Linked DNA regions of Cricetulus griseus. The protein of the gene in region 5 interacts with the protein of the main gene of each other region in a biochemical or structural test. Links are inferred from orthologs where the notes say so. Each region holds a gene or a part of one and is shown on either strand. Other genes may lie near its edges.

Region 1 (3,500 bases), on a different chromosome or scaffold from region 5:
ATAAACATGCTTCTATCAATTTTTTTAGTATTTAATTTTAATTATCTATTCTCAGAGGATTTTATTAACATATACAATGTATTTTGATCATATTTCCTCCACACTCCTCCCCAGCTCCTCCCAGAAGCCCCTCATCTCCCTCTCAAGTTCATATCTTTTTTTTTCTTTACAGCCCATTAAGTCCAGTTAGTGCTGTCTGCACAGGCATGCAAGGCCATCCACTGGAAATGGGCAACTTAGAGGAGCCTAAGAAAAAAACTGAGTCCCTCTTCCTCCAGCTCATCAACTGCCAATAACTCTTGGCTAGGGGATGGGGCCTTGTAATCTCTTTCTCCACTTTTTAAAACCCAAACAAAAGTGTAACCCTTGGAATATATTTTTATTGACATATTTTACTTAAACATAGTCAACTTTTATTTTTATTTATCAGCTTTTTATGACTAAGCCGAATAGACAAAAGGATGCTCATATTAGTTTGAAGTTCATTAAAATTCAAAGGATATTTAGAAATCTGACTAACCACATTGTCTTTCTTGTCCTAGGATGAAGGAGACCATCTGTTAGAGGCCACCTGTAGCAACCTGAAGACACTTTGAGCTCCAAAAGACATATGATGGCCTTCTTATTCTAGTTTTTGGGCCTGGATTTGGGAAAGTAAGGGTCGAGTAGTTGTTCAAGAGACAAGATGTAAGTCCTACCTATCTAAAGTCAAGAAATAATTATTGCCAACATTGTACAACCACAATTAACAATAGTTGCTAGGAGCTTAACTTTGATTTTTGGGAAAGCAAGGGATCTTTCTGAAAACAACTTAAAAGGATGTTAAAGAAGACAAAAATAACTTTTATTGACAAAAATTACTCATGGGTATAAAAATAAGAATTATTTTACATAAAGACCCAAATTCTAACTTTACTTGTTCTGTACATTGTTTATATAATGATCTACAGCAGATCTTTTAATAATATGCCTTTATGTTTATATATCTAGATGGGTACATATATTCAAATAGCTGGTATTTTTAAAATGTTTGGCACACATATACTACCCTACCAGCCACCTGAGCTAGAGAGATGCTAACCTCATCATTACTCAGAGAAGCTTCTCTTTGCATTAAAAGCAGGGATCCATGGCTATTTGAGCTGCTGACACTATGTGACAACTGAGCACTTAGCCCCAAATAGGATATTGGAGCATTGGCCTGAAGCTCAGAGGGGAGCTAGGGAGTGGAGAGAACACAGGGGATGGGGCAATGTGAGAGTAGGAAGAGAGGGGGAAGGGCTACAAATGACTGTCTTCTAGGTATGACAAAACCACTGGAAACTCCAGCTCACAGTAGCTATGAATGGGTGCATGGGGCCTATATGAGACTGGGTTTGTCAATAGCCAGCCACAGATTCTACAGAGTCTTATAGCCCTACTTCTCTCTGCCAAACAACTGGCTACTGATGGATTTTAGAGGTGAGGTAGCCTGTTGTCTTCAGTTGTGAAGCCACCAGGTTTTGATGGATTGTTTCAAGCCAGTGGTCACACAAAGATCCTGGTTAAAATCATTGGTTCCCAAAGGAGAAGACAAGACTTGGCTGTAGGTAGGGCAATTGTGGGGGCAATGTGTATGTTCTGTGGGGACTTGAGAAGACAGCATGTGCTGCTCGTGTGGAATGAACTGTTGTGTTGATGCCAGTTCCATGTTGGTGTAGATGCTTTTAGTTTCTTGGTGGTTTTGTTTGTGTGTGTTTGCCTATTTACTCTCTATCGGTGCCTGTGGGGTTGTCTTCAGGTCACTAATATAACTGTGGATTTGCCGCCCAATTCTGTCAGTTCTGCTTCACTTATCATAGCTCTGTTGCTTGGTACATCCCATTAGAACTCGGGGGTCTTCATAGTAGAGAAGTTATTTTATCAGTAGAGAATATTCCTTTATTTTATGTTTTCTGGTAATTTTCTTTGCTCTTAAATCTAGAGCCATTTCTAATTTGGTTTGATTTGAGTAACTTACCTTTGTTTCCTTTTTCTCTGTACCTGTCAATATTGCTATCTGAGGTGAGTTTCTTGAGAGCAGTATCTAGATAGGTCTTTCGTTTAGACCATTGATATTTAGTGTATATTCAATATATTGGGGTTATAAATCCCTGATTTTTCTGTTTATATTACTTGTTTTCTTTTCACTGCCTTCATATTGGTTACCTGATACCTGAACTCTTTAAAAATTTTATTTTAATTTATCTTTAATGTTTTAGGATATATCTTTGTATAGTTTTTTTTAGTTTATGCTATTACATCATGCAAATACTCTTATCACAATCTCTCAGCACAGTTTGTCAGTTCAAATTGGGTATACAATATTAACCCCCTTCATATATCTTTATTTCCCCTCATGCAGATACACTAGTCAATTACTCTTCTACATTTACTTAAAGCCATATCAGACAGTATTACAGTTTTCGTTTCAAGGATCAAGTATAACTTGAATTTGAAAATGGGATGGGAAGATGCTGTTCTTGCATTCTTTTGCTCATTATTCTCTTTCCTTTTTTTCTAATATTCTAAGGCTGCTTTTTCATATATCACCTCCTGCTTGGGAACTTTATTTGTCTATTCTTTTAAAAAATTATGTTTTTATTTTATGGCATGGATGTTTTGCATGATGGTAGGTCCACCATGAGTATGCCTGATGCCTGTAGAGGTCAGAAGAGGGTGTCAGAGGAACTTGCTTCTCTCCAAGTGAGAATGAATGCTGCAAACGTTCAATCAATGATCAAAAAAAAGTGGCATTGAACAAAGTAATTTTTGTGTTTATTTCTTCTAATCCAATATAGAGAGAAAACTTATGTCTTAGCCTCTGTCCAACTCCATATCAGAAATGGAACCAACTGGGGCCTTCAGCAATAATAGTGACAGGAACTGTACAATAGAAAGCTTCAAGAAAGAATTTTATCCCATCATATATCTGATCATATTTGTCTGGGGAGCCTTGGGAAATGGCTTTTCCATATATGTCTTCCTACAGACTTACAAGAAGTCCACCTCTGTGAATGTTTTCATGCTCAACCTCGCCATTTCAGATTTCCTGTTCATAAGCACCCTGCCCTTCAGGGCGGACTATTATTTCAGAGAGTCCAATTGGATATTTGGGGATCTAGCCTGCAGAATCATGTCTTATTCCTTATATGTCAACATGTACACTAGCATTTATTTTTTAACTGTGCTGAGTGTTGTGCGTTTCCTGGCCACTGTCCACCCTTTTCAACAGCTCCATGTCACCAGCGTCAGGAGTGCCTGGATCCTCTGTGGGGTCATATGGATTTTTATCATGGCTTCCTCAGCGATGCTTCTGAAGAATGGCTATGAGAAGAAGGACAACATTATATTGTGCCTGGAGCTGACTCCCCAAAAGTTTAGTAAGCTACTGATCATGAACCACATTGCATTAGTGGCAGGCTTCCTGCTTCCATTTGTCACACTCACCATCTGCTACCTCCTGATCATCCGGGTCTTGT
Region 2 (4,194 bases), on a different chromosome or scaffold from region 5:
TTGAGTTTCATACTTGTGTCAGTAAGAGTCCTGGGGTGAGATGGAGGGAGGGTGCCTGAGGTGGGGGAATGGATGAAAGCCCACTAAGGACTTAAGGGTATAGTGTGGCTCTGTAAGTCACCAGGATTAGGGATGGCTCTTATGGGAGTGGGTCCAGGCTGTGGTCAGGAATACAAATGCATGGTGGGAAAGAAGGCAGAAGAGCCTGCCTTTGTCATCAATATATGACAGAAGGGGAAGTGAGTACTGGTGAGGCTGGGGGGACTGGCCCCTGAAGGGAGCCAGACAGATGGACAGATAGACAGATGGGGACACATGCACACACACACACACACACACACACACAGAGAGAGAGAGAGAGAGAGAGAGAGAGAGAGACTGACTTAGCCCATCCACAGTCAAATTAAAACTAGGGCTCCATTTGCTTCTCAAGCTGGATGTGGTGGTCCTTATTGATAATCCTCTTGATCCTAGGACCCCTAAAGAGGGAACAGGAGAGCAGAGTGGGGTGACTATGTGGAGAACACTCCCAGGGTTGCCATCCTACCTGGGGATTCTTCTCACGGTGGTTAGGTCCCCAGTGGAGAAAAGACAGCCTGTCGTAGTTCCCCTCTCCCACCCCACATGCTTCTGGACCCCATTTGCAGAATGAATCCCAACAGACGAGGCCCCAGCCCATCTCCACCTCCCTAGTTAGGTCAGCTAACAACTACTGAGTATGTAAATCCTCATTGAGCGCCCATTGTGTACCCAAAAACATCATTCATTAGCCTCATTGCCAGAATGAATACAGTGTAAGCACAGACACAGGGGAGGCCTGCACTTGCTTTAGAGCAAGGACACTGAGGCCCGGAGAGGTCACATGGCCCACTCATCCAGACTCCCACCTGTAGAGAGGATAGTAACCCAAGAAAGTGCTCATCATTGTTGGGGTGGGGCTGTTCATTCAAGAAGGGATCGTCTTCCGGTCATAGGACTCATGGCTGAAACCCTGGAGTCAGAGTAACACTGGGCCCTCAGTAGGGTTAAAGGCCTTCCCTGGAATAGGTGACCCATCTTCCCAGACACAATCATTTCTTTAGCGCCTCAGTTTCCCCATCTTCAGTAGCCATATCCATGCTGTCCCCGGGGTGAATTAAGCCATTGTAGATATCGCAGGACATCGGAAGAGCTTGAAACATGAGGCTCAATTTGCAATGACTGGTAGTCATTGACAGGGATGAAGGCTCAGGAGGAGCTCATAACCACGGGCCTGAAATACCACAGAGGTAAGGAAGGTGGAGGGTTGTGTGCAAATGTGTGTGCATGCACTTGGAGCGACCGCGTTAGACATGTTTGGGGTCTGTGCCTCCATTCCAGGCCCTGCGTGAACCAGGCAATTTCAAACATTCTGGATGGGACCAGGAGACTGGGCAAGGGTAGGATGCTGGGCAGAGGAGGGGGGGCAAGAATCATCAGCTCAGACTGATGAGTACCCCCCTAACAGTGTCCTGTACCCCCTTGTGTCCACAGGCCCTTCTCCTCCTGGGGCTGAACCCTGTCTCCACCTCCCTGCAAGACCAGCGCTGTGAGAGCCTGTCCCTGGCCAGCAATGTCTCTGGTGAGTCATCCCTGCCCCTTAGCTCCCAGGTTCCCACAGGATCTCCTTCCCTAGAGCTCTGAGCAGCGACCTGTATAGAAAAATCTCTGGAACTGGAGTCAGTGAGGGTAAAGGGGCCTGTAGTTATCCAGGAGCCTCGTCTGTGGGCACAGGAAACACACTCAGCAAAGGTGCCTTGTGGTCACCATCCCAGGGGGCAACAGGGGAAAGCCCTCCAGGCCTCACTGCTGAGGATATTGGCAAAAGGTCCAAGGCTGCTGCTGTTGCTAAATATGCTGGAGAGTAAGGCTACATGCTGCTAGCACCAGGGATTTGAGATCCTGTCACCCATCTGACTCCAAAGGCAACTGAGGCACAGACAAGCACTAAGTGCTAGAGCCTGGGTTGCAAAGGCAGTCTGGCTCCCTGGTGATGCTCAATACCTGCCCAATAGAAAATTCTAGGTAAGGGGCTGGAGAGATAACACAGTGGTTAAGAGCACTGCGCGTTCTTCTAGAGGACCCGGGTTCAGTTCCCAATACTGGTACTCACAGGAAGATGATGCCCTGGACTTCTTTGGGCTTTGCTTTGCCCAAATTGAGGGAGGGGGATCCTGAGGTTAAATGCACTGAGTTTTGCAGGTTTGTTTCATAAGCTGTAACATCCAGACAGCTACTGGGTATAATCATGGGTAGCTTTTTCAAAGTACTTACTGTGCACCTAGGAGAAAGAGAAAGTACACCCTACGATTGCTTGCTTACTACAACGGAGGGTGTCAGGGAGGCTAGGATAGGGGTAGGGCAAATCCCAGAAGCCTTCCTGAAGGAGGGGTTTTTAAGTGAGCCTAGAGATAGAGCAGTCAGTGATTGAACACCAGTGGCTAAGTTGGCAGAAGGACTCACCAAGGTGAAGAAGGCCCTGGCCGTCCCAGCATTGGACTACCCACTGGCTGGGTTGAGCAGGGAGTGCGTTGCTCTCAGCCTATCAGCAGTGGCAGCCAAGGACAGGCAGGGAGGATGCCTGGAGGAAAGGTCCCCGTCCCTCCTCTCCACCCCAGGCCAGGTCAGGCTCCATTAACTTGCTCCTATTCAAGAGAAGTGACACCCTGGAGCCACACAGGTGTCACCTGTCCTTGGAGGCAGCAGGCTGTGAGGGATGATGTTCATTCTTCCGTGATTTGTGCTGGATGCCCCACCCCCTCCCAGCCTGCCTGGCTCCATAGGATGCAATCCATCACCTTCCACAGTGGCCTCCGCTCTGGCCATTTGTCATCTGATGGGCATTGGCAGAGACAGATGGTGAGAGTGGGGTGGAGGGCCCGGGACAGATGGATGGGCGTCTGGCCCGAGTGGCTGGCACTGTGCTGAAACCTTTGGGGGCCTTGCACATGCCTCATGCCAGAAGTAAGGAGGGGCTAGGTTCCCATGGCCAAGGCCCCCATCATGTGACAGATTATAGACTTGGCAACTTATAAAATCATGGCATGAGTATGACTGTGCCAGAAAGTAATAGAATTACTGACTAGTAACACCCCAGATAAGTGGAGTCAGGGCTCAGGAGGACGTGGGGTCACTAGTTCCCATCGCTGTTCTTAAGGCGGTAACGATGAACAACAAACCGTAATAATAACAGCTGATTCGTGTGGATGTCCACTTCATGTTGGGCACAATTCTAGGTGCTCAGCCTCATCCGGTCATCACAATAGATTCAGCAAGGATTTTGGTTCCCGCTTTAGAGAAAAGGAACCTTACACTCAGAAAGGTTGAGTAACTTGGACTGAGCACACACAGTTGCCAAGCACTGGCCACAGGGGTTGAGCCAACTGAGCCTGATTTCAGATTTAATACATTATGTGGTCACTTAAGAGATCTGTCATATCCAGGGCCCAATGTTACTTGGAGACACAGTGTCACTTGGAGGTGCAGTGTCAGCCCTGCAGTTTTCCCTGAGCACACTAAACTTGTATATGGCCCTATGGTTTCTTCAGCACCTACTATGTGCCTGGACTTCTACAAGGTATTGAGTGCAAACATCAGGAGTGGTCAGAGCACAAGGCAGGAAGCCTCACAGGCTTCTACCTCTCTCTTCGTGTGGCCCACACTCTACAGAGACACCTTTCTTCACCCTGCTAAAGAGGCAGCTTAACCCGAGGTGCCAAGACTGCCTGCCTGCCCCGTGCCTCTGTCTGTGCCGTGTCACCCAAACAGAGCAACTGCCCTTTCATCCCAGAGCACTCTCCTCCTAGCAGGAGTACCCATCTTTGAGGTTGCCCTAGAGCACCTTCCTGCTCCCCAGGAAGCCTCGGAGGAGTGTCCCCAGTCTCAAATCAGATAGGTAGATCAGATCTTCCTACCTGAAAGGGGGCTGCCAAGTGCTCACACCCTCTGTGGTTCACTCAGAAGCGTGTGATGGAAGACCACTCCTAACTGGGACAGGAGCATGGTTCTAGTTTCCTTCCAGCATTACCTACAGCACGAGGGCCCTCTGCGCACATTAGGGCACTAAGCTTGATAGGGAGGGAATTGTGTGGCCAACTTGACAGAAGAAACCAGTGCCCAACTGTGCACAAGCAGAAACTGGGCCACCCTTCAAAGGGCCCTTATCTGTTATCTGCG
Region 3 (3,991 bases), on a different chromosome or scaffold from region 5:
GAGCATGGAGGCGAGCACTGTGTTTGGTGAGGGAGAGGGCGACCTGTGTTTGATGCCGAGACAGTGAGAAGCAAGTTGGTATTGAGCAGCCATATCCTGACTCAGAATTGGCTGAGACAGGGCCAGGAGAAGTCAGGTACAATGGGGTCAAAGGGCCCAGGGATCAGTGGCTAACAGAGGGGCTGACAGGAGGGGCTTGGTGATGTTGGAGACACTGGGCAGGGAGTGGTGAAGCTGTTTGAGCAGGAAGGCAATACAGCTGGGGGAGGAGGCAGGAGGGAATGTGTGTGACGTGGAAAGATGCCGTGATGGTGAGGCACCCTGGTAGCCTTGTAATTCTGTAACCACTGGAGTCCTTATTGCATCCAGGCCTGGTTCACGGGTGAGGCTGAGGAGGGGCCATGGGACAAAATGGTAGGAAGGGCAACAGAGTCCCTCCCAATCCAGCAGCCTTCTCAGGGGCTACAGAACAGGAGGTCCCCAAACTCACAGAGGAAGGAGACAGGGAGGCCACCAGCTTTCTGGTACAGGTAGTGATCTAGGTGGCCTGGCTATACATGCCACAGCTACCACATTGTCCTTTACAGCCTCCATTGACCTCAGCTACTCTGAGACTGAAGCTTACCATTCCACTGAAGCCACCCCCTTAGACAGAGGACAGGGAGGGTTATACAATGGGGGTTCACAATCAGCAGCCCCCTCACCCACCCATCCACTTCAGGTGGCTTCCAGAATCAGCACGCTGGCTTCTCACAGTGGGCAAGGTGGACCAAGGCCTGAAGGAACTACAGAGGGTAGCTGCTATCAACAGGAAGAAGGCAGAGGGAGACACATTGACCATGGAAGTAAGGCAGAGCTGGGCCTTCCCTCAACTCTGTCCCCTATCCCTCAGATCTTCCCCCTTGGAGGTCAAGTGAGGGCCCTGGCTCTTGAAGGAGGGCTCCTAAAGGAGGGCCTGTGGGTAACAGGTGCTAACAGCCCCCACTCCCACAGGTCTTGCGGTCAGCCATGGAGGAGGAACTAAGTGGGAACCAAGCTCATGCCGGTGTGGGCACCCTACTCCATACACCTGGGCTGCGCCTCCGAACCGTCATCTCCATGCTGTGCTGGTAGATGCCCTTCTACCCAGGCTACCAACTGTAGGAAAGTCTGAAGTTAGGCCAGGGATGGGGCCACTAGCTAGAGGTATCTCTAGGATGACCTTTATCTCAGGGACCTTGCTATCTATAGTCAGGCTCCCAGATGAGACAAGCAAGGCTGAGTGGGCTGGTGAGCAAGGATTATAGGCCTGAACACCCAGAGGAGATTGAGTGAGTAAGATAAGTATGATGGCGATGCTGGAAAAGCTGGAGAGGTGAATCAGACACGAAGCAGACAGGCAGGCTGCTCCATCTCATTTAGAGGCACCAGGCATAGATGGGCTATTGCTCCAACTTGGAAGCCTAGGCCACCCAGCAAAGATCAAATCCACAAAGACTGTAGGGAGGGACTGTTCAGTAGAATCTAGAGCCAATGAGACAGCACCCTAAACGGAGTGCCGAGCTGAAAGAGAAGTGCCTAAAGTGGGCCTGGGAAAGGCCCACAGGGCAGGCAGAAGAACAGCCACCCCAGGCTGATTCACCCATTCTCCCAGGTTTTCCTTTGGCTTCACCTTCTATGGCCTGGCCCTCAACCTGCATGCCCTAGGAAGCAATATCTTCCTGCTCCAAGCGCTCATCGGGGTTGTGGACTTCCCAGTGAAGGTAGTCAGCCTGCTGCTGCTCAAATACCTGGGCCGACGTCTCTGCCAGGCCAGCTCCCTGGTGCTGTCAGGACTCTGCATCCTGGCCAACATACTGGTGCCCCACGGTGAGCTGCAGCTAGGCTTCGGGTGAGCCAGAGGAGGCAAAAATGTGGTGTGGGAGCTGAGGTGCTTCTCCCCTGGGCTGGGGAGTGTAGAACTAAGATAGAGAGTGAGGGACCACAACAGAGGACACTTAGGAAAGAGGCTGTTGGGGGTGTGGAGGAGAATGGCCAGGAATAGAGCAGTGATAGGATGGTAGGATTTTAGGGGAGATCAGGAAAGCCATTATGCTAACACAGAACTCAGTAATAGATTAGGTTGGGAGAGAAAGGGAGGCAAGGAAGACTCCTGGGGTAAGGCTCTAAAGGGCTGGAAGGTGGGTAGATTGGGGACACAGTGTGGACACTGGAGGGATGATTCAGACATTTGACAGACCAGCCTATAGGACAGGAGCAGCGCAGGGAATATAGGATGCCAGCCTCTGCTGATGCTGTCACTGTTCACAGAGATAGAGGTTCTTCGTTCATCCCTGGCTGTGATGGGGCTGGGGTCACTGGGGGCTGCCTTCACCTGTGCCACCATCTTCAGCAGTGAACTCTTCCCCACTGTGCTCAGGTGAGGCTGTCATGGGCTCAAGGAGAGAGTACTGTAGCTAGAGGGGAAAGCTGCCCCCAGATCCCCATGGGTTTCCCTTCCACATGGTCTCAGGGCTTTCGAATTAAGCCTCCACCCTGCCTGGTCCACTGGGCATCCCTGGCCTAGGGAGTTGGGCCAGACCAGAGGTCAAGGTCCAAGGCAGACAGAGTTTGACTGACAGGCAAATGTGCCTCCACAGGATGACAGCAGTGGGCCTGTGCCAGATAGCAACCAGAGGGGGAGCCATCATAGGGCCTCTGGTGCCATTGCTAGGCATCTATGGCTCCTGGCTGCCCCTGCTGGTGTATGGAGTGGTGTCTGTGCTAAGTGGCCTGGCTGCACTGCTGCTACCTGAGACCAGGAACTTGCCACTGCCTGACACCATTCAAGACATCCAGAAACAGTGAGTGGACCAGCCTGCAAACCCCCTCTCCCTCCCTCCCTTCCCTTCTCCCTCCCTCCCTCCCTCCTTCCCTCTCTCTCTCCTTCCCTCCCTCCCTCCCATAGAAGCCCCAAAACAGGGTGGCTTAGGAACTGACTCCTCTCACTGAACAAAGGGAAAAGCAAAAGCCAGGGAAGGCCCAGGATAGCCCAGAGTTACACAGCATACTGGGAGAGTGGAGACCCAGATGAACAGGCAAATTCTAACCCTCTTCCCTTCATCCCACCATGTGGAGGAATGAGTAACCCAGCCATTGACAGGTCTACCTTGAAAGAGGCAGGGAGAGAGGTCGGAGGAGAGACAGAGTGCTTGTGAGCAAGCTGGCCTTTGTCGGGGAGAGGTCCTGGGGTGTGGTGGGTGTTGCTGGGGTCTTCACAGGCAGGAGACCCCGCCACTAAAGCCATCAGGTGGTTGACAAGGTTATCAACACCCATCCCATCTTGATATGCTCAGTGATCTCAGACTTGAGCCCCAGGCAGGATGTTCAGTTCTCAGCATGGACATGGGTCAAGGATCAGGGGTCACTCTATTCCTTAGAGTCACACTTCTCTGTTTTTCCTGAACAGATCAGTGAAGAAGGTGACAGGTGACACAGCAGGCCAGTCCATCCTGATTTCTACACGGCTGTAGCCTCCTGGAGAGTCTATGATAAGACTGGAGAAGAAGGGCCATGATGGAGGAGGAGAAGAAAGAGAGGGAGAGAGAAGGGGAAGGGTAGAGCTGGCAATGGCGGGTAAAGGCGCCTGCCTCCAAGCCTGATCATACGAATTCCAGTCCTGAAACCCACATGATGGAAGGAGAGAACTGACTCCACAAAGCCGTCCCCAGACCTCCACATGGACACAAGTCCCCCCCCCATGACACACACAAATAAATAATTTATAAAAGAGACAGAGAGAGAGAGAGAGAGAGAGAGAGAGAGAGACAGAGAGAGAGAGAGGGAGGGAGGGAGGGAGAGAGAGAGAGAAAAGGAGAATGAAAAGGAGAAAGGAAAAAGGAATAGAAGGAGAAGGAAAGAGGGAGAGGGAATAGGAGGAGGAGGAAGAGAGAATAGGAGGAGGAAGAGAGAATAGGAGGAGGAGGAAGAGAGAGCAGGAAGAAGGGGAGGAGGAAGAAGAGGAGGGGATGAG
Region 4 (3,112 bases), on a different chromosome or scaffold from region 5:
ATACTCAGGCTGGTGAGTAGAAGAGCTGAGTTTAGGATTTTTATTTGTTTGAGGGTCTGTAACTTTCAGAGTTTGGTTTGGTTTGTTTGGTCTCACTGCATAGTCTAGGCTATCCTACAACTAGGTCTGTGGGCCAGGCTGGCATTAAACTCATCCAGATATGGCCTCTGCCTCCCCACTACTGGGATTAAAGTTGTGCACCACCACCCCCAGCCTTATTTTTATTTTTAATTATATGTGTGTGGGAATGTGCATGTGAGTGAGTCCAGGTGCCCACAGAGGCCAGAAGGCACAGGGCCACCTGGAGCTGGGTTTGCATCTGTTGTGAGCCTCCTACCAAGTGCTGGGAACTGAACTCCAGGCCTCGGGGAGAGTGGTGAGCACTGAGCTTGACTTTTACATTGAAGATGGTCTTTCCCAGCCCTTGCTGGCCCTCAAGCCTACGTAGCCGAGGCTGCTATTGAACTCTTGGTCCCCCTGGTTCTGTCTCCCAGGTGCTGGGATTAAAATACCTGGCATGTTTTTTTCATGGATTTTTCTCTTAGTTTTTGTTCTACATCACACTGGAGATGGAACTCAGCGCCTGGTGGGTGCCAGGCAAGCGCCCAACCGCTCGGCTACATTTCACCCCAGGAAGAGTCAAATTTGAACCTGTGTATGGTGATATCTTGATGGCTCAAATAAAACGTGTCTGAAAATCAGAGGGTGGAACTTGCCACTAGCTAACCATTGAGGTCTGGACTTCACACAGACAGACAGGAAGTGAGATGGCTGGGCAGAGAAAGGAATATAAGTGGGAGGAAACAGGAACTCTCTTTTCCCCTGGGAAGTGAGTGAGGTAGAGGTGGCTCTGGCTTGCTCCTCCTCCTGTCTGATTTCTCAGTATTTTCCTCTATATCTGACTCCAGGCTTTTATTATGACCTATTAGAACTCATGCTACACCTGTGTCTCTTTGACCTACAAGTCTTTAGCCACCTTTTCATGTGGCTTTTCTGAAAGGGAAAGAAGAGAAAGATGTCCTCCAAAATGCCTGCAGCAGCAAAGATGGAAGGAAGACCCTGGACGGTTAGGGGAAGGCTTTGTTGTATGCAGAATGGATCTCAGGGAATTTTAGAGGGGCCCAGGCCAGAGGTGGCTGGACGCGATTGTCTCCCGGTCGTTGGCCATCAGTGAGGCACTCGGTGGGGCGAAGCTGCCGGCCCCCTCAGTGCCCACCCGTCACCTCCTTGCCCACTGTGTCTCCAGGACTTGGTATCTAAGATGCTCCATGTGGACCCCCACCAGCGCCTCACAGCCAAGCAGGTCCTGCAGCACCCATGGATCACCCAGAAAGACAAGCTTCCCCAGAGCCAGTTGTCCCACCAAGACCTGCAGCTTGTGAAGGTGGCCATGCGTACGGGGGCTGCTCAAAGTGAGGGGTGGGGTGGGCCTCAGACCAGGGGGTTGTGGCAGAAACTTGAAGTGGCAGAGCCAAGCAGTTCTATGGGCCCAAAACCAGGAGATGTGGCAAAAGGCATAGCCCTGCCCCCAAGGAATCCCAGACTCACATGCAACAGTGTCATTATATTCTTGTGTCCCAGGGAAAACCAGTGGCCATGAGGCACCACCAAGGCTAGGAACAGTGGGCTAGGTGGGCCAGACCCTGGGGTGCATGTGTTTTGTCTGTCCACCCCTCCCTCACGGTTTGCTGTCCTGCCCTCTTTCCCAGGGAGCCATGGCAGCTACGTACTCTGCACTCAATAGCTCCAAACCCACCCCCCAGCTGAAGCCAATCGAGTCATCTATCCTCGCCCAGCGGCGGGTGAGGAAGCTGCCGTCCACCACCCTGTGAGCCACAGTGCAGACAAACTCCTTGGAGGCAGAGTCCTTCCCAGAGAGAGCAGACCTGGGTCACAGGACCAAGTGAAGTGGAGTCTGAAAGGGCCCGGGAAGTAGCCAGCCCAGATCACCCAAGAGAGGGTGTGAAGTGCCTTCTTCCCCAGGATGGACTCTTCTGGGCTCGGGCTCCGTGTGAGAAGTCCATTCACTGTACAAACTCTTTTTTAGGGGGAAAAGAATGGCATCTTCTACCATGGATTTTTACAAGATCCATTTGCCTTTCTAACCATTGCAGTCCCAGGAGGAGCACCGAGTCACATGGAGACTGTGTGGCCAAGGTTCCCTTGGTCAGCTTTGGGGCCCTCCCCTAAGCACTGCCCCCTCTATTGGCTGTGGAGCCATCTACACACGCCTCCAAACAGCCCAGTGTCACCTCTCAGTCACCCACTGGCTATTCCGCAGAGCTTGGCCCCAGCTGGCTCCTCTCCTTCTATTCTGGGGTTCTAGAACCACTTTCTGCTACAGCCAAGGACGCCGCCCTGTCAGCTCTTGGCTCCAGGCACCAGCATCCACATTGCCCATCCACAATGGGCCCCTGCAGTCGGATCGGACAGCCCCGTGGAGAGGAGGCAGAGAGCACTTTTCGGCAGACTTCCTGCCTGCCACTGGACAGAGTTCACAGGACACCGGGGAGTGGGCCACGGGGGACGAGGGCTTTTTCATTTCCTCCTCAGCTGGTAACTCAGGGTTCATCTGTCCAAGGCCTTTCTAATAAACTTACAATCCAGTCAGAGCGTGTGCTCTTACTCTCTATGTGGCTTGGGGACTTTGGCAGTGACAGGAAATAGGCTAGGGAAAATTTAGCCACCTGCTTGGAGCACAGGTCATTTGGGGAGCATGTGAGAGTCCCTCTGGTTCTGTTTGTATGCTCCTGTCAGAGGATCCCACCACAGTAGGGATAAACAGTAATGACACTAGCAACCATTGACAAATGCTGGCCCTAAGGTGTGTATTCTTCCCTTAGTGGCGAGAGGCCAGCCCCAGGGCCTTATACACTCAAGACAAGCACTTTGCCACTGTCCTCCCTCCTACCTGTACTCTCTGGTCCTAGGAATTAAACTCGGCCCCTCACTGTGCTCTGTCCCTAAAATACACCCGTCTCACTTAATCTTAACCCTGTCAGGCTGCAGGGTGGTGGTGACGCACACCTTTAGTCCCAGCACTCGGGAGGCAGAGGCAGAAGGATCTGTCAGTTTAAGACCAGCCTGGTCTACAGAGTGAGTTCTAGGACAG
Region 5 (4,246 bases):
CTCTAGTGGCCCAACAGGAGGGGCAGGAAGGGAGGGGACAGAAGAGGCCTTGGGAGGGAGAGCCCTTAACCTGCCACTCGAGTCTTTTCTTGGGCATCCTTACTTTACTCTGACTAGAAACTTCTGGATCAGTTATGGCCATTTTCCTTCTTCCTATCTCACTTATTATTTCAGTTTCATATGTAGATGTTATGTATTTTGATCATATCTCCTGGTTACCCTCTAGTCCTCTTCTGCTGAACCCCTACTTTCCAAACCCCTTTTCACTTATTTTTGTTGTATGCTCCACTGCATTTACCTAGTTTGCTTGCACAAGCCAGGGGTGCCCCTGTCTTTTCATTGCATTACCAATACACGAGCTAGCTCTGAGGGCTAGCTTTGTCCCTCCCTCCCTCCCTCCCTCCTTCCCTCCCTCCAGTTGTTCGAAGCCTGCCTTGCCCTGTCCTGCCTCACCTGACTCCACTAGCCCTGTACTTCTTGGAAAGTCATTTCTCCAGGGAGCTAGTCTTATTTCTCCCCAGCCCATCCCTTCTTTCCAAAGACCTCATTGTGTCATCCTATGTCTCCCAGTTCTTCCACAGCACGGCATATCACATTTTGTTTTAAAAATGTAATTATGAAAAAGATATCTTCCTAGTGATTAGCTCCTCTTATTCTCAGGTTTATCCTCAACATCTAGAATCAGAAAGGCTCATCAGATATTTGAGTGAAAGTGTGCTTCTTGGAGGTGGGTACAGCCAGAGCACATGTGTGAGAATGTCTCAATGAAACTCCTGGGGGCCAGGAAGACAGTATTTACTGTGCAAGCTTGGAGGACAGGAGTTTGGATCCCCATAAACCCTGTAAAAGGCTGGAGATAGTGGTGTGTGTCTGCAGTCCTCATGCTGGAGAGGCAGAGATGGAGGACTGCTGGACCTGCTTGCCAGCTACTTTATCAGATCTGTGAATTTGAGATCTCTATGAGAGAATCTGTCTCATTAATAAGATGGTGAAGGATTGAGAAACACACCTGACACCACCTCTGATTTCCACACACACACACACACACACACCCACACACCCACACACCCACACACCCACACACCCACACACCCACACACCCACACACCCACACACCCACACACCCACACACACACACCACCACCACCACCATCACCACCAATAATAAAAACCCAGCACATGCACAAACGAAGCCTATTATTTTGCATGGTAATTAAAAGAAGATAGATATGGCGTCTTAAACTTTCTGGACCATGTGTTTTTAGACATAACCTCTTAGGACAAGGAACAAGGATGAATTTGGTTGGAGCTACTGAAGTTAAAGCATCTGTGTTAAGTACTCATTTGAACACGAGGGTTTGAAAAGCAAGTATGGAGACTCAGGGTTTCAACGTCCAACTAGATTTCCTTGCCTGTGGATTTATCCATTTGTTTTTCATCACAGAAATGGCCTCCACCTTCAATCCCAGAGAGTGTAAATTGTCCAAACAAGAGGGGCAGAACTATGGCTTCTTCCTGCGCATTGAGAAGGACACTGATGGCCACCTGGTCCGGGTGATTGAGAAGGGGAGTCCAGCGGAGAAGGCAGGACTCCTGGATGGGGACAGAGTTCTCAGGATCAATGGTGTCTTTGTCGACAAGGAAGAGCATGCACAGGTGAATAGACACTTGGGTTCTTCCAGCCACCTCTTCAGCCTCCACATCTCTGCCCACTCTGATTTTGGGGATCAGTGGAGCTTGGTTCTCTTCTGGCTACCACTGGCAAGGTTCTATCACATTTTATGGTGACTAGTCTAATTGCTTATGATTAACTGAGAACTGTAAAACCTATTATGTGACTCAGTGGGCAAAGGTGCTTATTACCAAGCCTGATGAGCTGAGTTCAATCCCTGGGACCTGCATGTTGGAAGGAGAGAACTGATTTCCACAAGTGTCCTTGTTCATGAGCCATGGCCTATGCCCTGTTATAAAAGCAATCAATTAAAAAATGCTATACTGTGGTAGTGTCAGGTCAAACGTTCATTGCCCATTTGCCCACGCTAGACAATTTTATCTGAGTAAGCTGTAGCCCTCAGCACAAGCCTGTGAGGCATGTGTGACCGCACAGATGAGGCAGCCATGTGTAGGTGACTTAGCTTGTTAACTGTCATGTGGTGACCGCATGGGAGAGGTAGGCCTTGCCTCACTTCAGCATTGTTCCCCTTTCACTACACCACGCCACCACCCCCTAGACCTGAGAAGCCCTGTTGTCCTCTCTCAAGCTCCTTAACGCTGCGACCCTTTAACACAGTTTCTCGTGTTGTGGTGACCCATACCATAAAATTATTTTTGTTGCTACTTCATAGCTGTAATTTTGCTACTGTATGAATTGTAAATATTTGATATGCAGGGTATCTGACACATGAGCTCTATGAAAAAACTGGGTCGTTCAATCCACCAAGGGGTCATGACCCATAGGTTGAGGACCACGGCTCTAGCGCATTCGTATCTGGGAAAGACCAATCCTTGTCAGGGCTTTCTGGATTCCCACAGTGCTGGGGCCCAGTCTGATCCTCCCTGATATATTGGGAGTGTTGGGGTGAAGGTGTCCAGTACCCCTCTGCTTAGGGTATGGGTGTTGGGTCAGCTGCCAGGCACATGACAAACATCTTCCTCCTACGGTTGATGGGGGCGGGGTGGTGTGGGGGGGAGGTTAACAGGACAAGGTATCCTTTAAACACTCCCCTTTCTTCAAAGGTGGTGGATCTGGTGAGAAAGAGTGGGAATTCAGTGACTCTGCTGGTTCTGGATGGAAAATCCTATGAGAAGGCTGTAAGAAAACAGGTAGACTTGAACAACTTGGGTCAAAGCCAGAAGGAACCGGCTTCAAATGATAAGAAACCAAGCCCTTTGATGAACGGAGCTGTGGAGACGTGCGCCCAGCCACGGCTCTGCTACCTGGTGAAGGAGGGCAACAGCTTCGGCTTCTCTCTGAAAACCATCCAAGGTGAGCTTAGGGTGGGCTGAGCTCTAGCCTTCCAGAAGCCCTGTGTTGGTAACGACAGTCTTTGCAGTTGCTATGAATGTCCACAGCAATGTCACTCTCTCTTCCTTTGTCTTCAGCACGGATCCTTTCTCTGCAGTTGTACAAAGAGAGATCCAACTTTGGACAGCAGCGAGGGCTGAGTGGGGGGACTCTTTCCCTAGTGTTTGTCAGGCTGCTGTTTGAGGCCAGTGGTTCAAGGACGGATGCCTCTTCATTGTTTTGTTTGACTTGTTTTTTCTTTCTTTTTTAATTTCTTAATTTATGTTTTACATTCCAATCCCAGTTTCCCCTCCCACCTGTCCTCCTGTTCCCTCCACTTCCCCCACACCACCTCCCATCTGCACCTCGGAGAAGGGTAAGGCCTCCCCTAGGAAGTCTACTGAGATTGTTCATCATCTCGTTGAGGGAGGATCCAGGCACCTCCCCCAACCTCTGTGTCTAGGTTGAGCAAGGTACCTCTCCATATAGAATGGGCCTCACTAAGTTATTTTGTACATTAGAGTTAGATCTTGGCCCCACTGCCAGTGGCCTCATTTATTGCCCCAGCTGCACCATTGTCACCTATGTTAAGGGAGTCTAGTTCGGTCTTATGCAGCTTCCCCATTTGTCAGACCAGAGATTGTGATCTTTCGCTAGCTCGGGTCAGCTGATTCTGTGGGTTTCCCCACCATGGTCTTGACTCCTTTGTTCATATTATCACTCTTCCCTCACTTTCATTGTACTCCAGGAGCTTGGCCCAATGGTTAGTTGTGGATTTCTGTATCTGTTTCCATCTGTATCTGTAGAAGAAGGTTCTAGCTTCTCTGGGGTTGTGGGTTGTAGGCTGGTTATCTTTATGTCTGGTATCTGTTTATGAGTATGTAAATACTATATCTGTATTTCTGGGTCTGGGTTACCTCACTCAGGGTTTTTTTTCTAGTTCTGTCCATTTGCCTGCAAATTTTAGGATGCCATTGTTTCTTATCCTGAGTAATACTCCATTGTATAAATGTACATTTTCTTTATCCATTCTTCAGTTGAGGGGCAACTAGGTTGTTTCCAAGTTCTGGCTATTATGAATAATGTTACTGTGAACAAAGTTGTGTAAATGTCCTTGTGGTGTGAGTGTGCTTCCTTTGGGTATATGCCCAAAAGTGGTATTGCAGGGTCTTGAGGAAGGTTGATTCCTAATTTCCTGAGAAATCTCCATACTGATTTCCATAGTGGCTATACAAGTTTGCA
Region 6 (4,083 bases), about 150 Mb from region 5:
GACAGAAATGGAGTGGATCCAGAGAGAAGGGCATGTGGAGAGAAAGTAGGAGTAGTAGATGGAGGGAAAACAGTAATCAGGATATAATGTCTGGGGGTAAAAAAAAAAAAAAAAAACTATTTTCTTGTCTTTTTTTGTTTTGTTTTTGTTTTTGTTTGTTTGGTTTTGGGTTTCTTGAGCCATGATTGTCCTGGAACTTGCTCTGAGACCAGGCTGACCTCGAACTCAGAGATCAGTGCCGCCACTGCTTGGCTAAAAAGAAAATTCTATTTTTAATAAAAGGAAAAATAATTCAAACTCTATTTTACTTGCTTTGGCTAAATAGGGTTCAGGTATTTAAGTGTTGGCCCTTTAAAACCCACCACATTTTCATGTTGGACACAAAATTCTCACACCAAAAGCTTGGAAGGGGAAGGCACATAGCCTGGAAAACTCTCAAAGCCCCCAGAGAGCTAAAGACATAGGCATTTCTCTCAGTGAGCTCTTGGTGAATAGGATACCTTTGCTTCAGTGACTTTGGGTTCCTGTCAGATATTTTGCTTAGCAGACAAGGAAATCTAAAGGACAGTCATTTAGTTTAGACAGTCCACTTGTCATTTCTGTAGCACACACACATAAAAGCCTTCAGAAACACAAAACACTACAACACACACTGAACACATCCTGAGTGGGAAATAGGTAAAGCAATAGCTCCCTTTGTCCTCAAGGACTTTGTCTATAATTATGGCACATCGGAGGCATTGTGATACATGTGTCTGACACACATGCCTCCTAGGGGAAGCAGTTGCTCCCCATTCCTTGGTAGGGCTTTTGCTGTAATTATGACATATCAAGGAATTGTGACATATGCCTATGACATTCATGTACCTCATAGATGTCTGTGACTCTATGGCTACCCTAGAGACTTCAGTCAACAGAGCTAGGTCTTGTCCAGCTCTTGAAGGGCTTGCTGAGGTGGGACACCTCGGACTACTGTGGGACTTTGCACCTTTCTGCATCTGTACTTTGATTCCGAGGAGCCACGTTTTCATCTCCTCTTCAAAATGAATCTTGAAAAGTTAACTGTAACTCGGCCAAAAGCTACAGAGACAGGAGGAAGAGGGAGAGAAGGAAAAGGAGGAAAAAGAGGAGAAGATGAAGGTAGCAGAGGAGGGGGAAGAGAAGAAGGAAAAAGAGAAGAAAAAGAAAGAGATAAAGGAGGAAGAGAAGAAAGAGATGGAGGAGAAAGTGAAGAAGGAGGAGAGAGAGAAATAGAAGACTGGGAAGAGGGAGAAGAAAGGCTCATGGAAGCCAAGGAGGTCAGTCAGTGGTCCTTGGTCACACATAAGAAGCATATTAGCTCCCGCAGATTGGCCTTGGTTTCCCCGGACCTGGTGCCTGAGCCGTCACTGATATTGCTGCTGCCAGAAGGTAGGGATGTGGGGGGGGCGCTGGAGGGCGCGGGGAGTGAGCGCCAGGAGAAGGAGGCGCGGGCGGCATGCAAGGCGCGCAGGAGGAAGGAGCGCACGGGGCGGGCTTGGGGCGTGGAGAGCAGGGACTGGGGCTGGGCTAGGCAGTGCTGGCTTTTAACCTGGGCTACGGAGGCGGGGGAGGAAGGCAGAGAGAAGGGGAGGCGTGTGGGACCCAGTTGGTTAGGGGGGAATTGGAAGCAAATGACATCACCGCAGGTCCGACAAAAGGGGAATCGCTAAAAACATTGACTGGGTCCTGGATATTCAGAGGTCGAGTCCAACCTGAACGTGTCCAGACACAGACCTCAGTGCACCACGGAGACATCATGCAGAAGTCGCCTTTGGAGAAAGCCAGCTTTATCTCCAAACTCTTTTTCAGGTGAGAGGGTGCCAGGGGATCTTTGCAGGTGTGCCCATGCCAAAGAAGGGAATGCATATGGGCAGTCTTTGGGAAAACAGGAAGAGATTTTTTTGTTGTTTTCGTTTTGTTTTTAAAGGTGTGTTGTCATTCATTGTTTTAAAGGAAATGTGGATTTTATAGAATAAATTGAAGCTGATTAGATGGAGAACAAAATGTACTTGCAACTGAGAATCAGACTTGCAACACCTAAATATTTGCAGGGCAACAGTTTTCTTAATTTTTTTTCCTGAAAAATTTGTAAGATTTTCTTAATTAAAAATCCTTAAGGTTGGTTCATTGTTTTTCCCCAGGAAGCTTGTCTGCAGGTGTCATACCTGTATGTAGTAGGTGTTCAGAAAACATTTGCTGACTGAATTTTTTTGAGGAAGTATATAGTACTTTTTGCTATTGTAATATTAAGTCTGACATGCTCACCAAAAAGTAATGTAACCATAGTTACATTACTTTTTAAGAATGTGAGCAAGTCAGTTAAAATATTTATCTTTAAGCAGCAGAAATATCAAAAGCAAAGAATTTAGGAAAGCAGTAACCATGGGATATGAAGCTGGGGTTCTAGCTACTGAAGCTATATCCAACTGACACTTGGGACATTGTTCTCTTATCCTGCATTGCACAGCATGAGCCAAAACCTCAATAGAAAAGGATTTTAAAATTAGATTTTAAGTTGGGAGACCTAGGCAAGACTAATTAAGCACTTTGTATTTGACATGCTCTATGGCGCGGCTATTCTGTTCCTCTAGTGTGGATGAACGAAAAGAACAGCTCTCTCATGGGAGCTCACTTGACTCACAGCTCCTCAGGGAATCTAAACTTTAGCAAACTAAAGGACCAGAGTGTTGCATAGATTGTAAATGTGCCCTGTGGTGTGGGCAGGAGGCAAAGCTCAGCTTTCAGTCTTCTTGCCTTTGCCGCCGCCGGTGGGTCTAGAGCTCAGGACTAAGAGGACAAGTGCCTCTGTGGGAGAGCTCCTCCCAGTGGATGGGAGACAAGGTCTTTACCCTTTGGAGTTACCTTTGGTATTCACAGTGCTTTTGTTACTTCATCCATAAATTCAGCTTATCAGCCGGGATCTATTTTCCTACTACTCACAGCAACAGAGTGTTAATTGTCATAAACTGCACACTTTTATGAGATCATTTTGAGGAACCTACATGTCAGTGCCTCACGTTCTCATGAGAATGTCTCTTGTGTATTTTCCCCACTAAAGTATTAAGAAACTTAGATTGTTCATTTATCAGTGTTTCAAAAATCTCCCCTCTTATTATACAGCTCATTTATTTTAGTGTACCTTCCAAATGCTCTTAGGTTGATTTGGAAAGGAAAAATATTATAATGGCTGTGAAATTTGTTAAGCACATACTCATTTCTGTCCTTCAAACGATTTCATAATCAGTTGCTTTAAGAATAGGTGTGTTTTTAAGAGTTAAGTTCTTACTATTTATAGGCTCTGACATTCAGCTACAGTACCAGTCAGTGATTAGAAACTTCTTTCTGAACTATCCTTTTCAAAGATGAAAACCCTTTTTTTCCCATTGGACTAGGCATTTCTGCCTAGTGTCGAGGACAGTGGGCTCTGGGTTCCTATTGCCTGGTTTCAGGATTGCTTAATGGGCAAGTCCTTTCACATTTCTGTGTGACCTGACTTTTAAAACTTAGAGGCTGTCAATGTGCATATGACATAGTGGGTTAATCTGCTGAGTAGTTATGTCCTGGGCTTACTGAGGAAATGCTAGCTGCTATGGTTATTTTCTACATTTTATGTAAGACAATGAGTTTATTTCTGTTGGTTATAATTTTTGACTATCAACCTTTTTTTATGTGATGTGTATGTGTATTATATATTTGAGAAATTAATGTAAGGGATAGTCTCATCTAATATGGACTTACTAGATATTTAGGGGAAATCCATATGCTCAGATCTCCATAGATGCCTTAGAGTTTGAGTTTCTGAGTACTATCCCATCAGTTTTAGGGTATAAAAGACTAAAAAAACCTGAAGGCCATGTTTCCAATATTAGGGTCTGGGTTATGAATTATATTAAGTATCAGTTTAATTATCTAGGTTATATCACTAAAACCAAAACAAGCTTAATAAAAATATATTTTTGCAAGTGTTTACAGGAAGGAAAAGTTTGGAAGTCATTGGAAGTATTCTAACACAGAAGACAATTTTACCATGAAAATTTCAAGTATTTTGTGACTTTCACGGAA

What was found.
Region 1: the proteins of Pdzk1 (region 5) and Cysltr2 interact in a test that uses a peptide from one of them, tested with the Homo sapiens proteins (2 studies listed by IntAct, with this or other methods). The link is inferred for Cricetulus griseus from reciprocal best matches to the Homo sapiens genes PDZK1 and CYSLTR2.
Region 2: the proteins of Pdzk1 (region 5) and corticotropin-releasing factor receptor 1 form a complex in vitro, tested with the Homo sapiens proteins (2 studies listed by BioGRID and IntAct, with this or other methods). The link is inferred for Cricetulus griseus from reciprocal best matches to the Homo sapiens genes PDZK1 and CRHR1.
Region 3: the proteins of Pdzk1 (region 5) and Slc22a12 form a complex in vitro, tested with the Homo sapiens proteins (2 studies listed by BioGRID and IntAct, with this or other methods). The link is inferred for Cricetulus griseus from reciprocal best matches to the Homo sapiens genes PDZK1 and SLC22A12.
Region 4: the proteins of Pdzk1 (region 5) and Rps6ka1 interact in a test that uses a peptide from one of them, tested with the Homo sapiens proteins (2 studies listed by BioGRID and IntAct). The link is inferred for Cricetulus griseus from reciprocal best matches to the Homo sapiens genes PDZK1 and RPS6KA1.
Region 6: the proteins of Pdzk1 (region 5) and Cftr form a complex in vitro, tested with the Homo sapiens proteins (2 studies listed by BioGRID and IntAct, with this or other methods). The link is inferred for Cricetulus griseus from reciprocal best matches to the Homo sapiens genes PDZK1 and CFTR.

What each region holds. Positions count from the first base shown.
Region 1 is NW_023276807.1:227,520,588-227,524,087, reverse strand, and holds part of Cysltr2 (cysteinyl leukotriene receptor 2), read left to right. Parts: intron 1-542; 5' UTR 543-687; intron 688-2,819; 5' UTR 2,820-2,863; coding exon 2,864-3,500. UniProt on the Homo sapiens protein: Receptor for cysteinyl leukotrienes. The response is mediated via a G-protein that activates a phosphatidylinositol-calcium second messenger system.
Region 2 is NC_048600.1:117,186,997-117,191,190, forward strand, and holds the start of corticotropin-releasing factor receptor 1, read left to right. Parts: upstream 1-1,394; coding exon 1,395-1,418; intron 1,419-1,512; coding exon 1,513-1,600; intron 1,601-4,194.
Region 3 is NC_048596.1:52,814,972-52,818,962, forward strand, and holds the end of Slc22a12 (solute carrier family 22 member 12), read left to right. Parts: intron 1-721; coding exon 722-845; intron 846-993; coding exon 994-1,109; intron 1,110-1,633; coding exon 1,634-1,848; intron 1,849-2,289; coding exon 2,290-2,398; intron 2,399-2,618; coding exon 2,619-2,822; intron 2,823-3,427; coding exon 3,428-3,491; downstream 3,492-3,991. UniProt on the Homo sapiens protein: Electroneutral antiporter that translocates urate across the apical membrane of proximal tubular cells in exchange for monovalent organic or inorganic anions. Involved in renal reabsorption of urate and helps maintaining blood levels of uric acid.
Region 4 is NC_048595.1:19,428,253-19,431,364, forward strand, and holds the end of Rps6ka1 (ribosomal protein S6 kinase alpha-1), read left to right. Parts: intron 1-1,246; coding exon 1,247-1,384; intron 1,385-1,709; coding exon 1,710-1,832; 3' UTR 1,833-2,612; downstream 2,613-3,112. UniProt on the Homo sapiens protein: Serine/threonine-protein kinase that acts downstream of ERK (MAPK1/ERK2 and MAPK3/ERK1) signaling and mediates mitogenic and stress-induced activation of the transcription factors CREB1, ETV1/ER81 and NR4A1/NUR77, regulates translation through RPS6 and EIF4B phosphorylation, and mediates cellular proliferation, survival, and differentiation by modulating mTOR signaling and repressing pro-apoptotic function of BAD and DAPK1.
Region 5 is NW_023276806.1:59,644,402-59,648,647, reverse strand, and holds the start of Pdzk1 (Na(+)/H(+) exchange regulatory cofactor NHE-RF3), read left to right. Parts: upstream 1-1,446; coding exon 1,447-1,656; intron 1,657-2,736; coding exon 2,737-2,986; intron 2,987-4,246. UniProt on the Homo sapiens protein: A scaffold protein that connects plasma membrane proteins and regulatory components, regulating their surface expression in epithelial cells apical domains.
Region 6 is NW_023276806.1:208,423,448-208,427,530, reverse strand, and holds the start of Cftr (cystic fibrosis transmembrane conductance regulator), read left to right. Parts: upstream 1-1,283; coding exon 1,284-1,626; intron 1,627-1,721; coding exon 1,722-1,830; intron 1,831-4,083. UniProt on the Homo sapiens protein: Epithelial ion channel that plays an important role in the regulation of epithelial ion and water transport and fluid homeostasis. Mediates the transport of chloride ions across the cell membrane.